2 linked regions of the Caenorhabditis elegans genome follow. The protein of the gene in region 1 interacts with the protein of each later gene in a pairwise test. Each region holds a gene or a part of one and is shown on either strand. Other genes may lie near its edges. The genes, in order: dsc-1 and saeg-1.

Region 1 (6,177 bases):
ATCAGGTATGTTTTGAAAAACTTACCAATGTTAATTTTTTAATTTCATAGTTCGAAAAATTCACTAAAAAATGCTAAAAAATTCAGAAAAAAAACGCTGAAATTTGGTGAATTAGTTTTTGCAGCGGCCGGAGATTTAATTTTTCCTAAATTGTGAAAGCTATGCACCTTTTTAGTTTTTAAAAACGTTTTACCTTGCAGGTTAGCACTGGAAAGCAAATCTACTCGGTGTCTACGAAATCTTAATCACACCGCCCCCTCTTCAAGTTATTTGAAATTTCCAATAACTTCATTGTGATTCGATTTCTTTTATTCTCGAACTGTCCTCAATTATCTTCAATCAAGATTTTAGAATATTTTATGTTTTTATTATTATTATTATTATTATGATTATCATTTTGAACCCGTCAACAGCCCAAAGCAAAATCACTTTCCCGCCCTAAACCTTATTTGCCAAACGAATGATTACGGGTTCCTACCCACCAAATTTCCAATAGTTCCACTTTGTTTGGTCAATCATCTTTCAAAAAAAAAAGAAGTTTTGAATGCTACTTGAATTGATCTCAAAATGCCCTGCGAATTTCTGAAATTCATAATGAACACCAATGATTTAGAAACTTTCATGAATGATTCGAATGAATGGTTTTATTTATTAATATTATCTAATTATCTGACAAAACTAACGGTTAAAAAGTGATATGAAAATCTAGAATAAGCACATAATCACATATACAAACGAAAAATATATAGATGAAAAGTCAAAAAATAACATAGAAAATTGCAAAATACATATTTCTTGATCTGTATAACAGGTACAAACTGGCTTTTTGATTTGTTCTAAGAGGAAGAAAAAACAACCAAAATTTCAACTTAAAAAATCCAAATAAATGATATTGAGATAGTATATCGATGCCTTATTGATGCTCCTGTAGGCTTGGAAATTCAGGAAAATCTTGTTCAGTGTTCATTGGGAATTGGTCAAGGGACATCTGAAATTTAAATATATATATTAATTGTGTAAACCATAAAAATTATTCACTACAATGGTTTATAGTGATAACATGCCATTGTAAAACTTTTATAAAAACTTTCGAATAGCTTTTTTAGGGCTAATTATTTTTGACAAAAGAATAGTAGATGAACACGGTCTGTAATTCCAGCTCAGCAAAGCTTTATACATAAATAATACTTTAGAAAGTTGAATAGTTACTAGCTAATTCATTAATTAAAGGTGGAGTAGCGCCAGTGGGGAAAGTGTTAAAACTACTCCTATAATGCCAGAATAACCGAATATCATATGAAACCTTTTCAAACAATTTTTGAAATGTTTTATTTACTGTAAAAAAGTAACAATTACTCAGTTTTTTCAACTCATAATTTTGGAAGTCGACCAAAACAAATTTTTTCTTACATTTTTTATACTACAATTTTGTTTTAATTATTTGTATTAAAACATCGTAGGTGTCGGAACATGCGACATTGCTTGGGATTTCCTCAAAAGCTCATATTTTTCGAAATTTTGGCAATTTGCCAAAATTTTGACCGGAAATTATAAAAAAGTCTAAACATTTTTTTAAAAGTATTTTATTATCATATTTGGTCGTTTTGGATTATTATAAGTATAATTATACAAAATTCCCACTGACGCTACTCGATCTTTAATATCAAATTTTTTGCCAAATTATTTTCATACGGAAGTTTTCAGTTGTTAATCTGTAATAGCCTTACCGGTTGATTGGGAATACCAAAAGAATTTGGATGCTTTGCATTCGGACCATCATCTGGATGTTGCGCAGAAAAACACGCAAAATCAAACGAGTTTGATCCTCCACTGAAAGATTCATTCCGAGTGCGATCCCGTTGACGGTGCTCCTTCCTTCTCCATTTTGCGCGTCGGTTTTGAAACCATACCTGAAGTTTGAATAATTGAAATATTTATTGGTTTGTGTGTGTGTGTGGTTTTCTTGGTGTTTTCGCGTTAAATCAAATCTCTCGAAGCGATTTGGCTCACTTCAATTGTGACAGATAGTTGCTCGTAAATTGCAACTCGAGAGTTGAGGCCCCCACATGTGGACAGCATACGCTACCGTAGCCTATGGTAGGGAGGGGAAGATGGGAAAACAAGTGTGATCAAGAATCGGTTTATGGCAGGTTGTAGTTTTTGAGAATGGAAGATGGAATCATGGTTTTTTTCAGTTAAGTTGAAATTACAACATGTATTGTAAACAATTATCAAAAATTAGCTTTATGAATTTCTCATGAGTTGAGTGGAACTAAATTCTGAAAAAAAAAATTCCTCTATTATTCTTGCCCTCCTCCAATCAGAAAAAAATACCCGTTATACCTGAAACTTATAACTTGTCTTATTTGAATAGGTCTGTCGTTTCATAAAATGTTTAGCATTTATCTTCATTTCTAATCATTTGAATCCAAAGATGCACATGATCATTTTCGTTTGAGCTCTATTTTATATTCCAAAGGATTTTGAAAGAGTGAAAATTGTGTCAGAGGGGCTAATCTTCTACAGATGACATCAAAGGAAATCCTACTAGTAATATTCTTTTTTCTTCAATTATTCATAGCATAAAAATCAAGATTTTGATCAATTTCAAAAAGATTAAACACTATGTACACTCACCGTGATACGATCCTCTGGAATTTTCAAAAAGTCAGCCATATACTTTTTGGCCTTGTGATCCGGGTAGTGTGATTCTTTGAATGAATCTTCAAGGAAGGTGGATTGAAGTTCGGTGAAGTTGGTTCTGAATCTTCGTCGGCCTCCACAACTTTGAGCATTGTCGCTTGACATCAGAGAAGGGTTCAGAGCTGGAAAGTAAGGATTTCAGATGATGTACAATAGTTTTGGACCGTTTGGAACAGTTAATTTTGAAATGAGTAGAAAAAATGTTACAGTGTGGTGAAATAGAGCTAAATCAAGGACAATTATGTATCACAATTCCTTTCATGTAATTAAAAAAAAGGGATACATATAAATAAAATATAAATTATTTTAGTCGGCGTAAATAGATCAATGAATTTATTTTAAATTCATTTTAGAATATGGTTCTAGAAAAATTACGTTCGGAAAATGATATAGTAAGCATAACAAAACAGTAATCAGAAGTGTGAAACATTCAAAATGCTGATTTTTTTTTGTGAACGTGTCACTATCAAAACTTCAAGTGTTAAATTTTAAATTTAAATTTTCATAAAAAAGTTGTTTTATACTTTGATATTAATTCATTCTTCCCTATTTTTCAAGTTTTTACATGAATTTCCCACCCTCTGGATTAACTAGTACCGATCTGTTTCTAGTAATCCTTGAAAACATTGACTTTTTACTGGGATTAAATATGGAATCAATGCAACAAGTTTTGATAATCTTTTTTAAAAAGATTAATTTTCTAAAGACAATGAAACTTTAGCGGTCAGTTTTCGATTCTTGAAAACTTTGACTTACTTGAATTGCCAACGTTTGGTGCAGAGATGGAGCGTGACGCATTTTCAAAATATGAATTGTCAGGAATCACTGGAAAAAATATTTTTGCTGATAAACTTTCTAAATTTAACTTACTAGAGTTTCCATAAGCATGGGGAGAGAACATATGCGGATCCTGATTTCCAATATGATCATACGGACTCAATTGTGGCAATTGCCCAGTTTCATGTGCAGATGAAATCGGTGAAACCGTTGTTGGACAATCAAAATCCGATAAATAATGCTGATTCGACATTTGAAAGTGGTTATGAAGGGCGACGCCGAGGTTATGGTAGTAGGAGGCGGGCGGTTCGTCGGCATGCTGTGAATCGCCGCAGCTCCAGCGACGAGCAAGCTGTGGTCCCAGATTGCGCGGCGGGTGGAATTGTTGAGCTCCCTGTTGCACTGGTGGCACAGAAAAATCGGTGGTTACAGACAAAGCTTCTGATTTTGGAAGTAGCATCGGGAGATCAGGAAAGTCGAATACGTTGTTGAGGTTGGTATGAGGGTTCATATTTGGTTCAGATCTGAAAAGTTCATCGGAATATTTATTAGATAATTATCATCAATTTACAAATAGATCGCATGTTTTATTATTCGGTTAGATTGAAAGTTAAAATCTATTTTTCCAATGTCATATCTATTTCTAACTTTGCTATGTTTTTGGATCAAATTACAAGACAAAAACTGTGTGCAAAATTTAATTAAGCTCTTACCTCATTGACTTGAATTTTCAGCACTTGACCAAAGTCCTGAAGATAGTTTCTGCACCAACTCGAAAATAGTAAGAAGTGCAAATAATGTGTGAAATGAGAAAAATGAATAACTGATCTCACCTTGCTCGCTTCTTTTTATCATCCAATTAATCCCCTCTATTAATCTCTTCAATTCACTGTTACTTTCTCTGATAAAACTTCTTTGCGAATGCCATCCACATTTTTTATTTCCACCCTCACATCTGAGATTAATTGAGGGGGATTAGTTAGTCAGATCACTAAAAATGCCAACTTTTCCACAGCTCACTAATCCATTCAGAGCAAGAACTCCTAGCTGCGGTGGGGGTGGCTATTCTTCGGTGACCAAGCGAAGGGTTAATCTTCTTTAATAATCTTTTATGAAGTGACGCCAAGTGAAACACTACACTCTTTCAAACAGTTCACGAATCAAAATGTTTCAAATATACAGAGTAAACTGTAACCAAACTGTACACTTTGATTACTGCTAAAATTTAGTTTCTTGAAATACATTTTTAAGCAATTAGATGTTCTTGGCACAACGGACGTATACTTTTATATAAAGTTTGAAACATTTTGAAATGTTTTTTTTTTCAATTGCTGAATTGATGACTTGCAATGACAACAGAGCGGTTTTTACTACTTGGTAGCTGAGAAATATGAAGCCATTACTGAAACATCTCTGATTAGCAATATAGACCATTCTGCAACTTGACTCAAAATGATCAAAAAAGGTTCTCGAGACTTTTCAGTGAAGCCGATGTTTGAAAATATGCTCAGTTTTCTGTAATAAGAATGATCGACGTGTCTTCTCGGTAGCAAAAATCGCATTTTGTTGGAACTGTGGTAGATTGAATTATAAATTAACTTTTGTAATAAACAACAACGAAAAGCCATTGAAGCCTGAAACATATTATATTCTTAAAATTAAAAAGTCATCAAATTTTTTTAAAATTTTTTTAGCTTGCAGCCTACATATATAGTTGTTGTTTTATAGTCAAAACAAGGACTCAAAATTGGGTAGTTGGTTTGGTTTTTTGGGTAGTTGGTTTGGTTTTAAAGGCTTAAAAATGCCACTCAAGTTTTTGTTGATTTTAATTTGACCATTGAATATTTATTTGGGCCCAGCTTCTATTTAAAATAATGATATTTTTTCAGAGCTCACTTTTTTAATATCACATGAGTTAGTAACTTCTTTTTTTTTGGAATTGCTTATTTGAGTTTTAAAGAAAATTTTTCGACTTTTTTTGTAGAAAAATTGCCCTAATTGCGCATCGCATGTGGCAAGTTCGCAGCCCTAAATCACAATATTGATGTATACAGATTTATCAAACTTTAGTGTTCAATAAGTTAACACAACTCATATTTAAGTGAAAATTGAAATTGCCTGTGAAAGTGCATGTTTTGAGATGTTATAGTCACGATTAAAAAATAAATGTTAATAAAATGTTTTTAGCATTCACTCCGCACCAATAAACATCACATTTGTTGAAGTTGGACTCATCATTTTATTGTTTGAAGATTCAAAATTTTTGTCCAAGTTTATTTAAAAAATGAAACTTTGACTCATGTTTTCAGTCAATTATACAGCGGGCAAAAAATGTTTCAGAGGTCTCAGTTGGAACTTTTATTTTGAAACATTTGGGTCTACTAGACTGATTCAACTGTTGTCCAAACCAAACGGACGCCCAAACCATGCTGGCAGATACTTGCATAGTTTGGGCAGCGACTTTGGTGGCGTTGATTTCCTGCCTTTTAATTTTATAAACCATCATGAATTAATGCAGTAACAGTCATTAAAGAAAAGTCGTTTCTCTTCAATATTTCAAATCGGTTGTTTATTTTTAATGTGTCGTATTTTAACTATATTTGTTGCCTTAAAATGATCGATTGAAAAATAATATTGCATACAATAATATATGATGCTTTCATACATACTATGTATGAGTTCAATTCACAAGATTTT
Region 2 (5,030 bases), on another chromosome or scaffold:
TAACATATACTATTTTTCTTCACGAATTTTTCAAGTAAAACATGTACTTGCTATGTTTTCTTTTGACTTTTCGTGCCAGACTATGAAATTAGATATTTGTGAAAATACAAAACAACTTTTAGATTAACCAGACAAGGATATTTTATTGGTTTTTGAATCAGATAACTAGATTCCTTACGTCATTTTTGCAACTTTTCTTTTTATAGATTAAGAAATTGCGTAATGGTCTCGCAAAATGTTTGAAACCCCATGTGTGGAGAAATGAATATTTTGAACTCGATTTCTATAATTCTAATTTTGGAAGGATCACAATTTTAATTTAAGATTAATTTGTTACACTAGCATCTCAGCTAATCACATTACGTAAATATGTCTTCCCTAATATGAAAAATCTTGAGCAAGTGCATCCCTAGAATATATGGCATTTCAGTGACGGGTATTTGGATATTCTGAGAATTTCGTTGCGTTGTAAATATAGATAATTAACTGGAAAGTTCATAAATCTCTGGTCGTGTTTGTTTTTCCTAGAATAAATATGTGTACAAAGTGTTTTTTTTTTCGAACGAAAAATATACAAACGTTGGCGTAACTCGTTTAACGAGTAAAAATGTTTTGCATTCGAATGCTTGTTTATTGATTAAATATTTGTCTTTTTGAATGCACAATTATCTAGATTTGAATTTTTGAGAATTCCAAAATTTCTTATGCACCGAACAATTTCTTATCTATCAGTTGCACAAATTTGATTGCGTTTCGTTAACTTTATGGCCACTGAAATTAAAATCATGCATCAACGTGATTTGTCGCAACATCCATCACCTCGAAAGGGTATTCGTAAAGATTTTGATTTTCTGTTAAAACAACTACCGTATTTCTTCTATTAATATGGCTGCAATACTATTTTTAGATGGTCTTCCCGCTTGCAATACTAATAGGGAGTGCAAGACTATTAGGGAGTGCAATACTAATTTTCAGAACATTTTCTGACTTTGAGCTTACTAGTTTTTTCCTGAAAAAGCTCGAATCATATGTAAAAATTCAGAAAATTTGATTTTCATATAAGTTCAAAAACTTCAATCTCGTAAAAATGATGTGAAAACTGTTGCAAAATAGGCAATTTTTTTTTGTTGAAATCCTGAAATTAGCGAGACGGGTTTGCAATACAAAAAAAGTTAACGCAAGACTATTAGAGAGTGCAAGACTAATAGGGAGTGCAATACTAGTTTTCGGAAGGTCTCCGGGGGGGCAATACTAATAGGGAGTGCAAGTCTAATAGGGAGGCCATATTAATAGAAGATATACAGTATACAAAAAGAGGAAGTTGATATATACTCTGATTTTACAACGATACCTATGATTTTTGGAAGGCTGTGTTTAGAGCTGTCCAGAGCCGGAACTAAAAATATGCAATACTTCAGCTTCGAAATTTAGCCCCGGTCGCTGAAATGGTCATCCGAGTTTTTTTGCATTTTTTTCGTAATGTGAGGTAAGAAAAACAGATGTTCGCCAAAAATGTGCAGTGTAATATTTGGTAAGCAAAAAAGTCAAAATGATAAAACTGAACATTCAAAAGTCTACAAACTTTGTTATTGAAATTAATTTTAACCTATGTTTTTAATAGTTCTTGAGCTTGTCTTTTTTTTTTTGAGAAAGTGTCTTTAATTTTGAACATTTATTGTTTCAAGACCTTTCCAAGATTTGTCCGTAAAAATATATATGAAACGTGTTTTAAAATTACAACCATTTGAGATAAAATAAAGCGCTATCAAATATATTGTCCTCAGAAAATTAACTTTTCAAACAGAAAAAAAAAACTTACGGATTATCAACATGATCTAGTTTGATCTCTATTCCATGCCCGGCCGAATGTTTTCTCATATACATTGGATTGTGATTACCATTTGAAGCCGCCTGAACCAAAAAATATTAGAATGTTGAATAATAGAAGGATTAAAAAATATCCTCACTTGATTTCTCCAATGTTGTTGAGGGTGTTGCTGTTGGTGATTAGCATGATACGGATGGACCTGATGATTTGGCATAAACTCATTGTTTTGCCACGTACGAGGAGTCTAAAATTGCGATTGAATAGTAATTATTTTTCTTTCTATTTCTCACATATTGATCGGGATACATATGATGAGAGTTTTGCGATGAGAAGAAATTTGGAGCCAATGAGCACTTTCTAGGCGGAACTGAATAATGATTTGGAGTTGAATAGTTAGGAAGCTCGTTGAATCTAACACGTTGATTTTTTCGATTTCCATCCTGAAAAAGTGGTTTGAAAATTCAGGAATATTATAGAATATCTTACGGTATTTGTAGAAAACTGAAGTGGTGGAGGTGTCACGTTGGGTGGTGAAAATCGGAGAGGTTCGTAAGAATAGTTTTTTGTCTGGAAAATAAATTTTTGTTAGTATACATTAAGAAAATATTCGGATATCGTATTTTATAGGAAACACTATGTTTATTAATATGAAATTCAAACTTTTAAAATTTTAAAATTTGCTTAATTATGATAGAAATTTTATGTTGATTGCAAAATTACAAATATAATCAATCTCTTGCCAACATTTTTCGTTATCGAAAATAACTAATAAACAAAAAATTTTTGTTCTGAATCGTGTTAAATATGTTTTGCAAATTCTAGATAGTGAGAACTATATCAATGCAAATTTTAAAACGTTTCGGTCCAGTAGTTTTCCTCTGACCAAAAATTTTTTGCTAGCGTTAATTTTAGATTTTTTTGGATTCAGCCGTTTCTATGCTCCAAATTGCATCAATTCGTCATGACTCTTTTACAAAAAATTGAAGGAATGTATGAATATGAATATTGAGCTACTAGATCCAAAAATCGATTAGGATAAAACAACTTACAGGTAAATGATTGTTCTGATGTGACTGCCCTGACATAATTGAAGGTCTGTGTTGTTGCCCTGATGCTTGATATTCTGGAACATGCTCTCCGCTGGAACCTCCGTTCTGAAAAGTTTAAAAGTTTATTTTAAGACACCTACTCAATATCAATTTTTAATGCATTTTTTGTGTGTTTTGGTGAATAGTACCGTTCATGGAAAAACACGTTTGAATATTTATATTCACTAATTTTATGTTCGTGTTGCTATTGCAAACCTTTTCTGGAAAATTATTTTGATAAAAAGCATCTACATCTCTACGATTTGGGCCAGTTATAGTGGAAATCGATCTTCTAGGAGCGTAATAATTTGGAGGATGTTGAGGTGGTGGCATTGGATTTTCATTTGGAGGTGGTTGTGGTGGCGGTTGCTGGGGCACATCAGGAGCACCCCATTCAAAAGGATTGTGCAACTGATCCACGTTGATCTGAAATAATAACACTTTAAAAAGCATATTGTGGAGCAAAACACAAGAAAATTGAGTTTTTTTCGGAAAAGGTTTACGGTATGACTGAATATCAAAGCAATGAAAAAACGGGGATGATAGAGCAGAGAGCATGAAAAAAAAAAGTGATGATCAATAAAAAAGGGTTAAGCGCAACATTATGTATCATTACATGATAGTTTTTGTGTTGAACTGGTTGATTTTTTGAACAAGAAATAGTACTTATGAAAGCACATAAACTACAAACTGAAGGAGTTTAAAATGAGAGAAAAAGAACGAAGATACTTGAAACTGGGAGTGGATCTCTCCTCTTTTAGGTACGGCGGTGTCGTTATAATAATGGGTGTGAACTTTCTTTTTTGTAGGATCAATTGATGGTTTTCATAAAAAGAAATTAAGTTCAGTGTGGCAGAGTAGTCTCCAGCAGAAATAAGAATCAACTAAACTAAGATATTAAAATCCGTTCAAAAATAATAAGTGAGCATGAACTTCACCTTTTGTTGTGACCTGGCTCGACCCTTGTCTCGCCATGTCACAATGTCTCGTCCTCCGATCTCATGAGAGATCTCTTGGACGAGGTTTCGACGTAAGACAATACAAGATTGCTCTGACGCACAGTGCTTTCACTGCGCGGCGACTCAACCAACAACAGGATACGCAGCCATTGGACGCCACCACTTCAGTGTCTCCTGCTGCGCCCGTGCCGAACGGTCGTGCGTAGCACAGCTCTCTCCCCGACAAACCCCCTTCTCTATTATGTTGCCCCATACTGATATTATGTACGTGCTCTGATACCCAAAGAGACCCCGACCATTCATACACACGACCTCTTCAGACCAAAGACCCGCGTGGCAGGACGTGATATTCTCACACCAGACGATTTCCCCCTCTCTTGTGTACGACCCATTCCCCCTCTGTTGATTATCTCCCCTTTGGAGTAATAAACATATTTATTAAAACTGTGTTCTGTTCCTTCCAATACATATACAAATAGACGATGCCATGCTGCACCTCTGACATAGTCTTCGTTGCTCGGTTCCTCTTGAGGCTTAAAGGGTTCGGTCTTCCGCCACTCCGTGGTGCCACAACACCTTTCAAAACAAGAAAATATAACGAAGAATAATAAGTGATCATTGGTGTTTAGGAAGATCATGTTTTTCTATGTCTCAAATTAACTAAATTTAGATACATGATCATTTGATGGACTGGAAATTTGAGTGTGAGGACTAGTTATCGATTATCAAAAAAAACATTAATTAGATCCAAAACCATTTTTAGTTCTCTTACTTTGAGAAAAAACGTTAAATAAGATTTCGGCCGCTTGGGTCTAAACAAATTCTTTGTACCATTATTATGCACTAGTTTTAGTGATCACATGACACTTTTACTATGAAAATCGCTTGAATATAGAAAGTTTAGTCTGGCCTTGATTATAAACAAACTAACATATGAAAAGTGCTCTCTGCTAAACAAAACGCCTGCAAATTAACTTTTCATATTTTCCAAGATAACAATTAAAAAAAATTAAATAATCTATCAAAAAATATACTTGCATGCGATACTCATAAGAAAACTACGGTAGCCTGATTTTAAAAGATTTTTCCAGAAATATAAATTTTTGGAGAATCTATCCGTCACATGAAACTGACAATTGACACAATCATATTTAT

Evidence for each region.
Region 2: the proteins of dsc-1 (region 1) and saeg-1 interact in a two-hybrid assay, tested with the Caenorhabditis elegans proteins (one large-scale study listed by BioGRID).

What each region holds. Positions count from the first base shown.
Region 1 is NC_003284.9:15,030,551-15,036,727, forward strand, and holds dsc-1 (Homeobox protein dsc-1), read right to left. Parts: upstream 4,283-6,177; 5' UTR 4,194-4,282; intron 4,005-4,193; 5' UTR 3,992-4,004; coding exon 3,574-3,991; intron 3,529-3,573; coding exon 3,460-3,528; intron 2,826-3,459; coding exon 2,638-2,825; intron 1,911-2,637; coding exon 1,728-1,910; intron 989-1,727; coding exon 914-988; 3' UTR 630-913; downstream 1-629. Other genes in the region: seb-3 (G_PROTEIN_RECEP_F2_4 domain-containing protein), read left to right, coding at 1-5, 201-245. UniProt on the Caenorhabditis elegans protein: Transcriptional regulator which plays a role in the expulsion step of defecation by controlling enteric muscle-specific expression of exp-1 which is required for enteric muscle contraction. Not required for exp-1 expression in the PDA neuron.
Region 2 is NC_003283.11:10,862,451-10,867,480, forward strand, and holds the start of saeg-1 (Suppressor of activated egl-4 protein 1), read right to left. Parts: upstream 3,250-5,030; coding exon 3,133-3,249; intron 2,983-3,132; coding exon 2,878-2,982; intron 2,396-2,877; coding exon 2,315-2,395; intron 2,269-2,314; coding exon 2,119-2,268; intron 2,073-2,118; coding exon 1,968-2,072; intron 1,912-1,967; coding exon 1,820-1,911; intron 1-1,819. UniProt on the Caenorhabditis elegans protein: As a likely component of a histone deacetylase complex, together with saeg-2 and hda-2, functions downstream of the cAMP-dependent kinase egl-4 to regulate the expression of genes required for egg-laying and foraging.